2 linked regions of the Callithrix jacchus genome follow. The protein of the gene in region 1 purifies or fractionates together with the protein of each later gene. This does not show direct contact. Links are inferred from orthologs where the notes say so. Each region holds a gene or a part of one and is shown on either strand. Other genes may lie near its edges.

The links. The genes of interacting proteins can lie anywhere in the genome.
Region 2: the proteins of STIP1 (region 1) and VCP purify together in Homo sapiens (affinity purification with mass spectrometry; 4 studies listed by BioGRID, with this or other methods). This does not show direct contact. The link is inferred for Callithrix jacchus from reciprocal best matches to the Homo sapiens genes STIP1 and VCP.

The regions. Positions count from the first base shown.
Region 1 is NC_133511.1:121,254,425-121,261,861, forward strand, and holds the end of STIP1 (stress-induced-phosphoprotein 1), read left to right. Parts: intron 1-2,967; coding exon 2,968-3,004; intron 3,005-3,218; coding exon 3,219-3,322; intron 3,323-3,543; coding exon 3,544-3,716; intron 3,717-4,137; coding exon 4,138-4,210; 3' UTR 4,211-4,629; downstream 4,630-7,437. UniProt on the Homo sapiens protein: Acts as a co-chaperone for HSP90AA1. Mediates the association of the molecular chaperones HSPA8/HSC70 and HSP90.
Region 2 is NC_133502.1:141,941,085-141,948,635, reverse strand, and holds part of VCP (transitional endoplasmic reticulum ATPase), read left to right. Parts: coding exon 1-20; intron 21-104; exon of another isoform or gene 105-206; coding exon 207-379; intron 380-1,441; coding exon 1,442-1,584; intron 1,585-2,635; coding exon 2,636-2,766; intron 2,767-4,038; coding exon 4,039-4,170; intron 4,171-5,512; coding exon 5,513-5,615; intron 5,616-6,249; coding exon 6,250-6,383; intron 6,384-6,461; coding exon 6,462-6,597; intron 6,598-6,909; coding exon 6,910-7,022; intron 7,023-7,419; coding exon 7,420-7,551. UniProt on the Homo sapiens protein: Necessary for the fragmentation of Golgi stacks during mitosis and for their reassembly after mitosis. Involved in the formation of the transitional endoplasmic reticulum (tER).

The DNA.
Region 1 (7,437 bases):
TGTTGTTGTTGTTTGTTTGTTTTTGAGACAGAGTCTCTCATTGTTGCTGGGGCTGGAGTGCAATGGCGTAATCTTGGCTCACTGCAACCTCCGCCTCCCGGGTTCAAGCAATTCTCGTGCCTCAGCCTCCTGAGTAGCTGGGATTACAGGTGCGTGCCACCACATCCAGCTAATTTTTTGTATTTTTAGTGGAGATGGTGTTTCATTATGTTGGCCAGGCTGGTCTCGAACTTCTGACCTTGAGATTCACCTGCCTCAGCCTCCTAAAGTGCTGGGATTAGAGGCATAAGCCACTGCACCAGGCTGGTCTTGATTCCTGACCTCAGGTGATCTGCCTGCTTCGGCCTCCCAAAGTGCTGGGATTACAGGTGTGAGCAACTGCACCCAGCCAGGTTTTTGTTTTTTTGAGACAAGGTCTGGCTTTATTGCCCAGACTGGCTGGAGTGCAGTGGCACAATCTCAGCTCACTGTAACGTCCGCTTCCCTTGCTTAAGCCATCCTCCCACCTCAGCCTCCTGAGTGGCTGGGATTACAGGCATGCACATTGTACCCAGCTAATTTTTGTATTTTTATAGGCAGGGTTTCAACATGTTTTCCCAGGCTGGTATCAAACCCCTGGGCACAAGAGATCCTCCTGCCTTGGACTCAAAGTCCTGGGATTATAGGCATGAGCCACTGAGCCCGGCCTGTGTTTAATTTTTGACGAACTGCCCTGTTGTTTTTTCAGCAGCTGCACTATGCTTTCTTGTCCTGTTTTGCTCGGGTAGGTAGGTCTGCCGTTCTCAGTCACATGAAGTTTGGTCAGATACGATTAAGTTTGATACTGTGGAGTTCCCATCATTCTCTTGAATATCAGCCACTCTGCCTCTATCAGAGTTTTTTGGAATGTTCTCTAACAAATCTGGACCGTACTATGGGAAGGTGACAAAGTGTGATCTGTCTAGAAGCAGCCATACCTGGCTTTGTGTTGGTTTTATATTTTGTGCCACTGTCTTCTGGGTCTGTGTCTTGGCCTAGAGACAGCATTTCCACTAGTAGAATTGTCCAAGAGTCATGTCAAAAGCATATCAATTTGTGATGCGAAGACTAGCAGGTTGTCAGTCACCTGGGAGGTGGGCAGTACTATCCCAGTCGTGAAAGTGTGGAAGAAGAATGAATGGGATTTCTGCCGCTCTGCTGACTTCTTGGTGGAAGGGTTGGAATTAGGCCCAGGCAGGCTCAGTGTGCTGCATCATGTTCTTCATAATTTCTTACTTGGAAGATGTTTGAAAAAGAAGAATACATAGCGAATTCCTGGTGTAACTTCCACCTTTGATGATTAAAAATTGACCCGTTATTGCTGAACCGTTTGTGAAAGAACTGTATACATTTGGCACTTAGAATGAAACATCCAAGTCTCATGCACACATTGCCTGAAAAGACTCCCTGTCCAATGCGGCACTGTCAGCACAGGTGACCTCATCTGTACCAAGGCCTAATGTCATCTGCTGTCTCTCCATCCATACTCAAGATTTTCCCACTTGTCCAAAAATATGTTTTGAAACTCTGGGGTTAATTTAATCTTATTTTTTTGAAATGGAATTGGTTTGTGGTCGCCCAGGCTGGAGTGCGATGGCATGATCTTGGCTCACTGCAACCTCCGCCTCCCAGGTTCAAGGGATTCTCCTGTCTCAGCCTCCCGAGTAGCTGGAATTATTGTAGGTGCAGCCAGTAGCCCAGCAAAAAGAAATTTTTTAAGTAGAGACGTGGTTTCATCATGTTGGCCAGGCTGCTGTGGAACTCCTGACCTCAGGTGATCCACCCGCCTTAGCCTCCCAAAGTGTTGGAATTACAGGTGTGAGCCACTGCGCCTGGCCTTGTTCTGTTTCTTTTTTGTTTTTGTTTGTTTCTTTTAAACGGGATTTCATTCTTGCTGCCCAGGCTGGAGTACAATGGCACGATCTCAACTCACTGAAACCTTTACTGCCTGGGTTCAAGCAGTTCTCCTGCTTCCACCTCCCAAATAGCTAGGATTATTAATAGCTAGGTGGCACGTGCCACCACGGCCAGCTAATTAAAAAAAAAATAATTTTAGGCCAGGTGCTGTGGTTCATGCCTATGATCCCAGCACTTTGGGAGGCCAAGGTGGGTGGATCACCTAAGATCAGGAGTTCGAGACCAGCCTGGCCATTATGGTGAAACCCCATCTATCTATTTTTAAAATATATATAGATGTTTGTTTGTTTGTTTGTTTGTTTTTGAGATAGTTTTGCTCTTGTTACCCAGGCTGGAATGCAATGGCGCGATCTCAGCTCACCGCAACCTCCGCCTCCTGGGTTCAAGCAATTCTCCCGCCTCAGCCTCCTGAGTAGCTGGGACTACAGGCGCGCGCCACCATGCCCAGCTAATTTTTGTATTTTTAGTAGAGACAGGGTTTCACCATGTTGACCAGGATAGTCTCAAATCTCTTGAACTCGTGATCCACCCGCCTTGGCCTCCCAAAGTGCTGGGATTACAGGCATAAGCCACTGTGCCCGGCCCTTTTTTTTTTTTCTTTTTGGTTGAGACGGGTTTTTCCATGTTGGTCAGGCTGGTCTCAAACTCCTGACCTCAGCCTCCCAAAGTGCTGGGATTACAGGCGTGAGCCATCACGCCTGGCCTGTTTTGTTTTTTAACCAGCAGTGCTTCTGGATTCAAAAGCTCTCAGGACCAGTGCCCATACATTTCATCTAGTTGTCACGTACTCATCAGTTTCTCAAACTGGAATTGTTCCCCCCTTGCATTTATTTCCACAACATCAGCCTCTTACAGAGTCTGGGCCGTTTGTCTTGTGTGGGTTGTTCATCATCTGGAGTTGTCTTTCCTGATGTGTCACCTCTGTGTGGTGCTGGGTCAGGCTTTAAGAGTTGGAAGTCCACATGCTCGAGCTGCCTGTAGTGAGCTTGTCCAAGGGAATGAGCCTAATTTCTTTCTGCCGCTTCTTCCTAGGACTGTGAGGAATGTATCCAGCTGGAGCCGACCTTCAGTAAGTGCCTTTTTGCTGCCTGTCCCGTGTTTCTAGCCAAAAGATTAGAGAAGGAAAGGGCAAGTCCTTTGTCTACCTGTGTGTCCTTGGGACCTGTAGCATTTAGGACCCAGCATCAGCAGGCGTGAACGGTGTTGGTCACAGCAGGTGAAGAGGCACAGAGAGCAGCCTTGGACACTACTTGTGGATAATGTGCCACCTCTCCTGTTTGTAGTCAAGGGTTATACCCGGAAAGCTGCTGCCCTGGAAGCGATGAAGGACTACACCAAAGCCATGGATGTGTACCAGAAGGCGCTCGACCTGGACTCCAGCTGTAAGGTGGGGCTGCTTCTGGCCTCCCGGGGACAACTCCTGCCTCTTTCTCTGTTGGGTCTTTTCCGTGTTCAGTCCCTGATATCTTTCCTGTCGCCTCCATTTCTCTGGGTTTCTCTCTTACTTGCTGTCTATCCCCCTTGTCAGTTACCTATTATCTTGGGCCTGCTGAAGCAGTGAGCCGGGTGGTGGTCACACTCTTCCCCTTTGTTTCCTCTGGACTGCAGGAGGCGGCAGACGGCTACCAGCGCTGTATGATGGCGCAGTACAACCGGCATGATAGCCCCGAAGATGTGAAGCGACGAGCCATGGCCGACCCCGAGGTGCAGCAGATCATGAGTGACCCAGCCATGCGCCTTATCCTGGAACAGATGCAGAAGGACCCCCAGGCACTCAGCGAGTACGTAGAGTCAGAGAGACAGCCTTGCTGGACATGGGGAACAAAAGCAGGCAGATGAGAGTGCACGCAGCTGGGAGGGTTGTGCTCGGTCTCTGAGGAAGAGGAATTGTATCATTCCTCCCAAACCTATGGAGATTGGCAGCGGGCGTTGAGCTGGAAGGGCTTTGTTTGTTAGTTGTGATAGCTTAAGCAATCATTTGGAAAGCCAATTGAGCTGGGAGAAAGGTCTTGGCTGGAAGCTGTGGTGTGGGCTTGGAGTCTGACTGACAAGTTCTGCAAGGTGGAGCAGGCCTTTGCAGTCTGCGCGCCCAGCCTCGCCAGGACTCCTCCCTGCCAGGGCCTTCTGTGAACGGGGGTTGAATTGGAGCTTGCTCGGAGAGCAAGGTTGTCTCATTTCATATAACTGCCTCTTCCTTCGTAGACACTTAAAGAATCCTGTAATAGCACAGAAGATCCAGAAGCTGATGGATGTGGGTCTGATTGCAATTCGGTGATGACTTGTTCATCCCCCCCTTCCCTTCACCCTCATGTGGAAAGAGGAGCTGGGACCGCGGCGAGCAGCACGGAGCAAAAGGGAGAGCAGGGGGAAAGAAGGCCTCATCTCTATATTTATACATAACCCCGGGAAGACACAGAGACTTGTATTGACGCTGTTCGTGCCGCCGCTGCCTCTGGGCCTTCCCAGCACACGCATGGTCTCTTCACCGCTGCCCTCGAGTTCCGTGTCTCCTTCCCCTGCCCCTAGTCGCTGTCTCAGCTGCTCTCCCATAGTTGGTTATTTTTTATTTGGGGCAGTGGGCATGTATGGGGAGGGAAGGGGGCTCTTCCCAGCCTCAGGTCCCAGCTGTCTCGTGTTGTTTATTCCACGTCCCCTTCTCCAATAAAACAAGCCAGTTGGGCGTGGTTATATGTTGCTTTGGCCTTGAGTGATTTTTTTTTTTAACCAAAAGTTGGTCTTGCAGAGGCTGCTCCTGGAACCTGAGCTTGTTCTCTCTGAGGGGGGCCTAGTAGGAGTCAGGTGCTTGGCAGAGCTCCCTGGCTTTGCTGAGAGGGTTGCCAGGTGGCGCTGTTGCTCAGCAGCTGGAAGGGAATCTGGAGGCTTCCCCACCCCAAGTGGTACCAATGAGAGGTTCAGATAAGCTTTGGGATAACTCTAGTGCTTTGAATTCACGTTACAATCTCAGAGAAACTGGCTACATCCAGAGCTCAGTGGGTCCAACCCAGGAATCAGCGTTCTTTTTTTTTTTTTTTTTTTTTTTTTTTGAGACATAGTCTTACTCTGTTGCCCTGGCTGGAGTGCAGAGGCAAGATGCCTGCTCACTGCAACCTCTGCCTCCAGCGTTCAGGTGATTCTCTAGCTTCAGCCTCCTGAGTAGCTAGGACTATAGGTGCATGCCACTAAGCCCGGCTGATTTTTTTTATTTTTAGTGGAGATGGGGTTTCACTGTATTAGCCAGGGTGGTCTCGATCTCCAGACCTCATGATCCACCCGTCGTCTCAGCCTCCCAAAGTACTGGGATTACAGGTGTAAGCCACCTTGCCTGGCCAGAATCAGGGTTCTAATGTGAGATGCTGAGACCTCTGGGGAGAGGCACCTCTGCTGTCAGCTGCTGTTAGATGTAGGAGTTGGGTCATGGATTTATTTTTTGGGTTTGCCTTTGGTTTTGTTATTTGAGACTGAGTTTCAGGCTGGAGTGCAGTGGCACTCTCAGCTCACTGCAGTCTCCACTTCCTGGTTTCAATCGATTGTCCAGCCTCAGCCTCCCCAGTAGCTGGGATTACAGGTACCTGCTGCCACACCCAGCTAATTATTTTAGTAAGACAGTGTTTCACCATATTGACCAGGCTAGTCTCAAACTCCTGACCTCAAGCGATCCACCTGCCTCAACCTCTCAAATCCTCATGCTGGGATTATGAGCATGAGCCACCATGCCTTGCTGGGTGATGGTTTTAAAGAACGCACGGCTTGGTGGGTCACCCGAGGTCAGGAGTTCAAGACCAGTCTGACCATCATGGGGAAACCATGTCCCTACTAAAAATATAAAATTAGCCGGGCGTGGTGGCACATGCCTGTAATCCCAGCTACTTGGGAGGCTAAGGCAGGAGAATCACTTGAAGCTGGGAGGCAGAGGTTGTGGTGAGCCGAAGCCTGGACAACAGAGCGAAACTGTCTCAAAGAAAAGAATGCATGGCTCTCACCTGAGAACTTAGGGTGCTAAGCTTTAATTAGACTTTTCCATGGTTGCAACAAACTGCGTTTTCTAAAGCTCTCTTCCTGGACTGGGCAGGCTTCTTGGGCAGGAGTGAAACTTCCTCATTTGCTCCAAGAGTGCTGCTTTCTGGGCTAGGAAGCCGCTGAGACTAGCAGGTGGCTGGACTTCTGCTGCTAGTTCTGTCAGCTGACTTTTCCCCTGGGAATCCCCGGCAGGCCTCCTTCCCCATCTGGGTGGCCACAGTCAGGCAGTCCCCACTCCTCGACAGGACTCTGCCGCCCCCAGGCCTGTCCACCCTCTGTGCTGCAACCCCCAGTGTATTCCCTGAAAAGGCCGTCATCCGGTGCAGAGCTGGTGGCAGATATAATCTTGGTCTACTGGAGCCCATGTCCTAGGGCAGGTGATGGGCAGGAGGGTGATAGACTGCCAGAAACCCCTAAGGTGACCCCTAAGCATGGACGTGATGGGAGTGAGCCTCCGGGTTCTGGGGCAGGCACATCCAGGAGGGACATAGTGGAGGTATTACATTTGGAGCTGGGGGCCCTGAGGGCCCGGGAGGTTGTGGATGGTCAGGGCCAAGTTCTGTTCCGATGGAGTGGTCACCTGGCAGGTCTGAGTTCATGAGTTTGGAAGTAGCCCAATGTGAAGCTACGAAAAACTGCAAAATGGACTTGTTTCCCTCTGGGGTAGGCCTTGAGGGATCCTTGGTTGACAGGGACAGCCAGGCTGGAGCCGATTAGACTTGGGTCCCAAATAACCTGGATCCACTCTGCCAGCTCCTGGGCTATCCCTCTGGCAGCCCAGTGATGTTTTAAAGCCTGAGGTCCCCACCTCATGACAGGCTGGGGATGGGAGATGCTTCCCACAAAGGCAGACCTAGCCCTGAATGCAAACGGTGGGAGGGGCTTGTTGAGTTCAACTGAGCTTCCCTCAAATGAGGCAGGGGACGATTTCATGGTTTTGAGTCATTAAGCTCTGCTCTTCTGTGCTCTCTGGGGACAAAGGTGGGGGCCCCTGGAGCCCTCTGCGGGCTGGCAGCGTGCTTCCTGCACCCAGCGCCAGCCCGCCCTGGGGAGGGGCTGAGCCCGCCCTGCTGATAAAGCAGAGAGGCAAGGGCTGACCTGAAGGAAGCTCCAAAGAGAAAGGAGGGCAGGAAGCCCACGGCCCGCAGGGGAGTACCCGAGACCCGCCGGCAGCTCTTGCCAGGAAAGGTAAGCTCGGGCCTCACTGGGATCCCAGGCTCTTCTCTTCATCGACCTCCAGCAGCCTCTGCCCAGCCTGCCTCTCACCACGAGGCAGCCTGACCTTTCCACCTCCCCAGGGAGGCTTTGGCTGGTTTGTCATGTTGGCATCTGAGCTGTGGGCCAGGATTGAAACTACTTCCTGGCCTGGGTACAAAGTCATGGCCAGAGTGGGCAGCTGCCCTTGTGGATCTGGGGTGAGCTGTGGGCTGGGGAAGCCACCCCTGGGCTATGCCCAGCTCTGGCATTGAGCAGGGTGGTCCTGAG
Region 2 (7,551 bases), on another chromosome or scaffold:
GTGTGGTGTCCTTGTCCCAGGTAAGCTGAGGCCACAGACTAGTCTTTCCTTATTGGACTTACTTGAGGGATTTTCCCAGGTTTCTTTTCTCATTTTTCTTGCAGTGACTGCAGATAGAGTGGGGTTTACTGGGACTCCCAATCTCCAGGGCTGCTGCTTACTCCCTTCTGCCCAGTGACCAAAAGGCCTTAACCTTCTTTCCTCAGCCCAAGATGGATGAATTGCAGTTGTTCCGAGGTGACACAGTGTTGCTGAAAGGAAAGAAGAGACGAGAAGCTGTTTGCATCGTCCTTTCTGATGACACGTGTTCTGATGAGAAGATTCGAATGAATAGAGTTGTTCGGAATAACCTTCGTGTACGCCTAGGGGATGTCATCAGGTGTGTGTGTGGTTTTTGGCTCTGCAGGGATGGGAGGCCAGAGATAGCCTGCATTCTAGGCAGGACCCATGTATTACACAGGCAGGACCAAGTTCTTGGCACCTGTAGATATAGGAAGCCTCCTGGCCATGGGAAGACTTACACTTCAGGGTTGTCTTTAGATTTTGGTTCTGCCTTCCTGGGATTCGCAGATTTTCTCTGAATGTCCCTTGAGACAAATTGGCATTCCTATAACTTTCCTGATGCCCTATTTTTTCCTACCAGAGATGTAATTTATCATACTTAAAGCTTGGTTTAGGATGCCACTTGAGGGTATGTATCTGCTAAATGACCTCCTCACTACTCTCACTAGTATGTCCAATTAATGGCTTCGGATTGGAATGAGGTTGCGGTATGGGCATGGAAGGTGAGCTGGTAGCAGACCTTTTAAGCACCTAAATTAACTAGGGAGAAAGGGATAGTTGAAGTCAGACCCAGGATAGCTCCATTGAGAGTGATTTTGCTTATTCTTGCATAATTTTAGGCAAGAAGTTACCCCAACTTGGAGTCATCTCTTGCCACTCCTATCCAGCCAACCATCACCTGGCCAGGATCATCTTAGGCTTCTGATACTTTTTAATGGAGTCTGAGTTTCATGTAACTTTCTTCCTGATGGTGCTTAGTCACTTTCTCAAGGTGTTCTGACCACCTGGCAGAGATAATTTTATTTTTTTCACTTCTGTTTCTCTGACCCTGACAATTACTAGCTTAAGATCTTCTTTTGTAATATTGGGTCATCAATATTAGCTAAGGGGATTATCCTAGCATATCTCACTGAAGACTCAGCATATCTTTGTGGGGTTTCTAAATGTGTAGCTCTTGATTTTGGCTCACTGATTAGGAGTGAGTGGGGCTGTTCTTTTGCTCTCACTTCCACCCTGTTCTCCTTCCGCTCTTCACCTAAAGCCATCCCTGCCTTTTCTTTTTTACTTACTATCAGCTATCTCTGCCAGGCCCTTTTGGACACCCAGTGCTTGGGCCCGAAGTGTGGTTGGTAATATGGAGTCTGCTTGTCATCCTCAGCATCCAGCCATGCCCTGATGTGAAGTATGGCAAACGTATCCATGTGCTGCCTATTGATGACACGGTGGAAGGCATTACTGGTAATCTCTTTGAGGTATACCTTAAGCCGTACTTCCTGGAAGCTTATCGACCCATCCGGAAAGGTGAGAGCTAATTCTGAGCTTAAGGATTGTTGATTGTTGAGTTTTTGCACACTAGGTCATGGAATGATTTAGAGAAACTCAGCTTGGAATGTCTTCATCTCATTTTCTTTTTCTTCTTTTTTTGATCTTTTATGCTTTTCCCTTGTATTTATTTATTTATTTTTTAAGAGATGGGGTCAGCCCAGTGCCGTGGCTCACGCCTACAATCCCAGCACTTTGGGAGACTGAGGCAGGTGAATCACCTGAGGCCAGGAGTTCAAGACCAGCCTGGCCAACATGGCAAAACCCCATTGTGGGTGCCTGTAATCCCAGGTATCTGGGAGGCTGAGGCACGAGAATTGCTTGAACCCAGGAAGTGGAGGTTGCAGTGAGCAAAGATCAGGCCACTGCACTCCAGCCTGGGTGACAGAATGAGACTCTGTCTCAAAAAAAGAAAGAAAGAAAGAGATGGGGTCTCACTATGATGCCCAGGCTGGTCTCAAACTGCTGGGCTCAAGTGATCCACCTGCCTTGGCCTCCCAAAGTGCTGTGATTATAGGCATGAACCATCATACCTAGTCTCACTTTTATATATTTGTATACACACATGCATCCTGCATACAGATTCATGTCTTCTGCCCTTCTTTTCCTCCATCATTTTCTCCCTCCATCTCTCCCCTTCTCTGTTCCAGGAGAGTAAGCTATCCTTATGGATCTTTGAAGGAGAAGGTGGTCCATTTTGACTATGTCAGGGTCCAAAGTGTACAGTTCTAGCATTGGTGGTTGTAGTAAAGCTTGGGCTAATTATATGGCAGAAGTCAAAACTTGATGGGCTTCTGGCATGTCAGGTTTTCTGCACCAACCTCCTGAGTGGCAGAGGGACTCTTCACAGTTTACCTTTCTCCTTTTGCCTACTACTTATTAAGACAGTTGGGGTGGCATTGGAGAGAGGGTAATATCTAATGAAGGACAATACCTAATAAGCTTGGCATTTTGACCCAGGGTCTGATGAATTCTCAATTTGTATTGTAGCTGACACCTCTAACTGTGCTTGTATTGCTTGCTCTCACAGGAGACATTTTTCTTGTCCGTGGTGGGATGCGTGCTGTGGAGTTCAAAGTGGTGGAAACAGATCCTAGCCCTTACTGCATTGTTGCTCCAGACACAGTGATCCACTGCGAAGGGGAGCCTATCAAACGAGAGGTGAGTTTTCTCCCTGATCACAGTATCCAATTTCGTGATTACTCAGTGTGGCATCATGTGGTAACTGTCAAGACTGGGTGCTCGGCTGTCCGCAGTGGCTTACGCCTATAATCCCAGTACTTTGGGAGGCTCGGGGGACAGATCACTTGAGGTCAGGCATTTGAGACCAGCCTGGGCAACATGGTGAAACCTTGTCTCTACTAAAAATACAAAAATTAGCTGGGCCTAGTGGCGCACATCTGTAATCCCAGCTTACTCAAGAGGCTGAGGCAGGAGAATTGCTTGAATCCAGGAGGCAGAGGTTGCAGTGAGCTGAGACTGTGCTACTGCACTCCAGCCTTGGTGACAGAGTGAGATCGTCTCAAAAATAAAAAAACAAAAAAACAGACTGGATGCTTTTTGGAGAACTAAGCATCTTTCAGGGATGAGAAATCTGCCAGATATTCATTTCTGGGTCTAGGTGTTTTTTGGAGATACCTAATGCCAGGAATTTCAAAAATCTAGACTGAACCCAAAGTATATAAGTGATTGAAATCAATTTTGAAGTATAGCTGATGGTGGCTGAAGGCCTTTGTCCATTCCCAGAGTTTCCAGCCTCAGATTTTAGAGACCCCCTTCTCAATAAGACTACGAGCAATGTGAGAGGCAAGGACTGTGCTAGAAATCTTTGCCTTGGGATTTTTATAGCTGTTCTTTGAGGCTGGATCCCTGTAGAGGAGAATCTTCTCTTTTTAATTTAATTTAATTAATTTTTTTTTTTTTTTGAGACAGTTTCGCTCTTGTTACCCAGGCTGGAGTGCAATGGCGTGATCTCAGCTCCTGCAACCTCCGCCTCCTGGGTTCAAGCAATTCTCCTGCCTTAGCCTCCAGAATAGCTGGGACTACAGGCATGCGCCACCATGCCCAGCTAATTTTTGCATTTTTAATAGAGACGAGGTTTCACCATCTTGATGGTCTCGATCTCTTGACTTCGTTCCACCCGCCTTGACCTCCCAAAGTGATGGGATTACAGGCATGAGACACAGCGTCTGGCAATTTAATTTAATTTTTAATGACATGAGGGTCTCGCTATGTTGCCCAAGAACTCCTGGACTCAAGCAGTCCTACCTCTGCCTCCCAAAGTGCTGGGATTACACATGTGAGCCACCGTGCTGGGTTGAGAATCTTCTTATATGGTAGGTTTTTGTACACTAGGTAGTGGAATGATTTAGAGAAACTCAGCTTCTGCTGATATTATATTCTTGCCTTCTGCTTTCTTTATCTCTTTTTCAGGATGAGGAAGAGTCCTTGAATGAAGTAGGGTATGATGATATTGGTGGCTGTAGGAAGCAGCTGGCTCAGATAAAGGAGATGGTGGAACTGCCCCTGAGACATCCTGCCCTCTTTAAGGCAATTGGTGTGAAGGTGAGCATTTTGGGCTCTGGGATCCAGTTTAAAGTGGTGATTAATGACTACCCAATGTCTGATCCTGGGACTTTTTCATACGTGGCTTTTGTTATTGTCTTGGATTAGAGGGGCAGTAATAAATCCTTTAATTCACTGAAGGCTCTAAATTCATTAGAGTTGATGGTATAGAACAGAGCAAGCTAATTAAATTCTCTGTTGTGTGCATATGCGCACAAACACATGCACACATATATATGGGTTTTTTCTTTACAGCTCTTAGAATGTAAAAGCTATTCTTGTCTCAGTGGACCCTGTAAAATCAAATCTCACCATAGTTTGCCAGCCTATCTAGAGCAGTGTCACCTGGTAGAAGTAAGCAAGTTAAGGAAATTTTCAGAGTCTTTTTTTTTTTTGAGACGGAGTTTCGCTCTTGTTACCCAGGCTGGAGTGCAATGGCGTGATCTTGGCTCACCGCAACCTCTGCCTCGTGGGTTCAGGCAATTCTCCTCCCTCAGCCTCCTGAGTAGCTGGGATTACAGGCACACGCCACCATGCCCAGCTAATTTTTTGTATTTTTAGTAGAGACGGGGTTTCACCATGTTGACCCAGGATGGTCTCGATCTCTTGACCTCGTGATCCACCCGCCTCGGCCTCCCAAAGTGCTGGGATTACAGGCGTGAGCCACCGCGCCCGGCAATTTTCAGAGTCTTAAAGGGTTCTGAGTTTAAAACATTTGAGAACTATTGGTCTAGAGTGTAGTTTCCCATTCTTTTCTATATCGTGGAACACACTGAAAATGAAGTTACTCATTTCCTTAGTATGTGTCAATAAACAAATAATTTCATCTTCTATGTTCAATGTCCTGCTTGTAAATAAGGCCATAGAAAGGGTAGTGTCAAAGAAGAAGATTGGTGATTGTAAGGAACATCATTCCAATGTGATAAATTCTGGAAGGTATGATTACTGGAGTAAGTGATCCTCTGGCAATGACGAAAATAGACCCTGCTCTCTCAAATGTCTTAGCTAGTCTTTGGCCCTTGGTCTGCCTGAAATTGAGCCCTTAGTGTAATGTCCTTTTGCCTTTTCCTAGTTACGTATCTTCAAACTTATTTTTCACTAGAGTTTCTCTGCCCTTAGTCTCCTATGCAAGTTGCAATCATAAATGTTGCTCACTTTGTAGCAGTATTTTCTGTGCTAGTGTGGCTAAAGTAAGCTGTCTTCCTAGCATTTACTGCTGAGGGCTCATTCTTAATATTGTCAGGGTTGAAGACTGATTCTCGCCCTCTCTGGAGCCCTAGTCAATCCATTTTAGGGTTTGGGAGAAGGTGAGAACCTAATCACATTCTGCATTGGTCCTCAGCCTCCTAGAGGAATCCTGCTTTATGGACCTCCTGGGACAGGGAAGACCCTGATTGCTCGAGCTGTAGCAAATGAGACTGGAGCATTCTTCTTTTTGATCAATGGTAAGAGACTTGGTTCATCTTAGGTCTAGCTAGACCCAATTTTGAATGGGGACTCATGAGCTGGAGAGCTCATGGACCGATCCCTTTTGCATTCATGCCCACCTGCACTTTTATAGTATATTTCTTCTCCTGGGGTATGTTACAGACAGATGAAGAATAAAGGGAAGATACTTTACATTGGTGCTCCCTGTCCTGTCCCCTTTGAGAAAGATTGTGGACAGACCGAAGAGTGGGAGCAAGCTAGAATGAGAAATTAATGGGTGAATGCTTATTGATATGAGAGATTTTCGGGGAAATGAACTTGGATTGCTGGCTCTTGGAGAATACTGTTAGCTGGTAGAGATCTAGCTGGTGTGCCATCTCTCCTGCTCTAGCCATAGGTCCCAGAGCATTTGCTGTCACCTTTATACTTCTAGTTCAACTGTGAGAAGAGTATACTGAGTCCCTGGGCTTCTCTCTAGCCTGGACTGGTGGCTATCCTGTGATAATGGTTGGTAGAGGATCTGAGAAGTAGGCAAAGGTCACCACCTTCTCACCAGGACCTGTCTCTGAGCCAGACAAGCAAGATAACTGTTTTTTGGGTAATTAGGAAAGGCTATAATTTTGTTTTTGCCTCCATTCTGTATTCTTTCAGGTCCTGAGATCATGAGCAAATTGGCTGGTGAGTCTGAGAGCAACCTTCGTAAAGCCTTTGAGGAGGCTGAGAAGAATGCTCCTGCCATCATTTTCATTGATGAGCTGGATGCCATCGCTCCCAAAAGAGAGAAAGTAGGAGCTTACCTGAAGGGATAGTGGGGGGTTGAAAGGCTCTAACTTCACTTATGACCAGACATCCTGTTCTGGCAGACACATGGCGAGGTGGAGCGGCGTATTGTATCACAGTTGTTGACCCTCATGGATGGCCTAAAGCAGAGAGCACATGTTATTGTCATGGCAGCAACCAACAGACCCAACAGCATTGACCCAGCTCTACGGCGATTTGGTAAGCACTCCAGATATATCCAACCCTGCCCTTGCTTACATCTCACCTCTCTCCTTCATCTAAGTCACTTAATCCTCTTGAAGCCCTTTGCAGTGATTAGGTCCAGGGGTCTTTTTCCCTTATCCTGCATCCTGTCTAGACTGACCAACCACTTGGTTTTCCTGAAACTGAAAGGTTTCCCAGGGTTTGAGACTTTTTCACTGCTAACATCAGGACAATCCTATGCTAACTGAGATGGTTGGTCCTGCTAGGCCTGTCTCTTCCCTCTGGACTAGAAATGAGCCCTGTCTGTGTTCATGTACTGTCCCACAGGTCGTTTTGACCGGGAGGTAGATATTGGAATTCCTGATGCTACAGGACGCTTGGAAATTCTTCAGATCCATACCAAGAACATGAAGCTGGCAGATGATGTGGACCTGGAACAGGTAAAGTGATGATGAGGGCTGACTGGGCATTACAATATCTCTGTTTCTAGGCAGTTGCTGGGAACTGGCTTGGAACATAAGGTTAAGATGTGAGGAGATGGATTTTGATTTCTGGACAGGGGAAAGGAAGTGATCTGAGATTGAATCCAGGAAATTGGAGTTGACTTGTTTCTCAGTTAACACTGCATTTAGAGTAAATCAGAATTTCTGGGGCAGCTTTATTTCTAGGCCTCAAGTCCCGAATTGAGTACTTAAAACCCAGCCAATAAAGACATTGCTAGTACATATTCAACGAAATGAGAGGACCCAGGGATAGGAGTCGGGGGAAGGATTTCTGTTGTTTCTTAGCCTCCTGTGGGAGCTGGAGGCAGCATAGTAAGTAGGTCTTTCTCTACAGGTAGCCAATGAGACTCATGGGCATGTGGGTGCTGACTTAGCAGCCCTGTGCTCAGAGGCTGCTCTGCAAGCCATCCGCAAGAAGATGGATCTCATTGACCTAGAGGATGAGACCATTGATGCCGAGGTCATG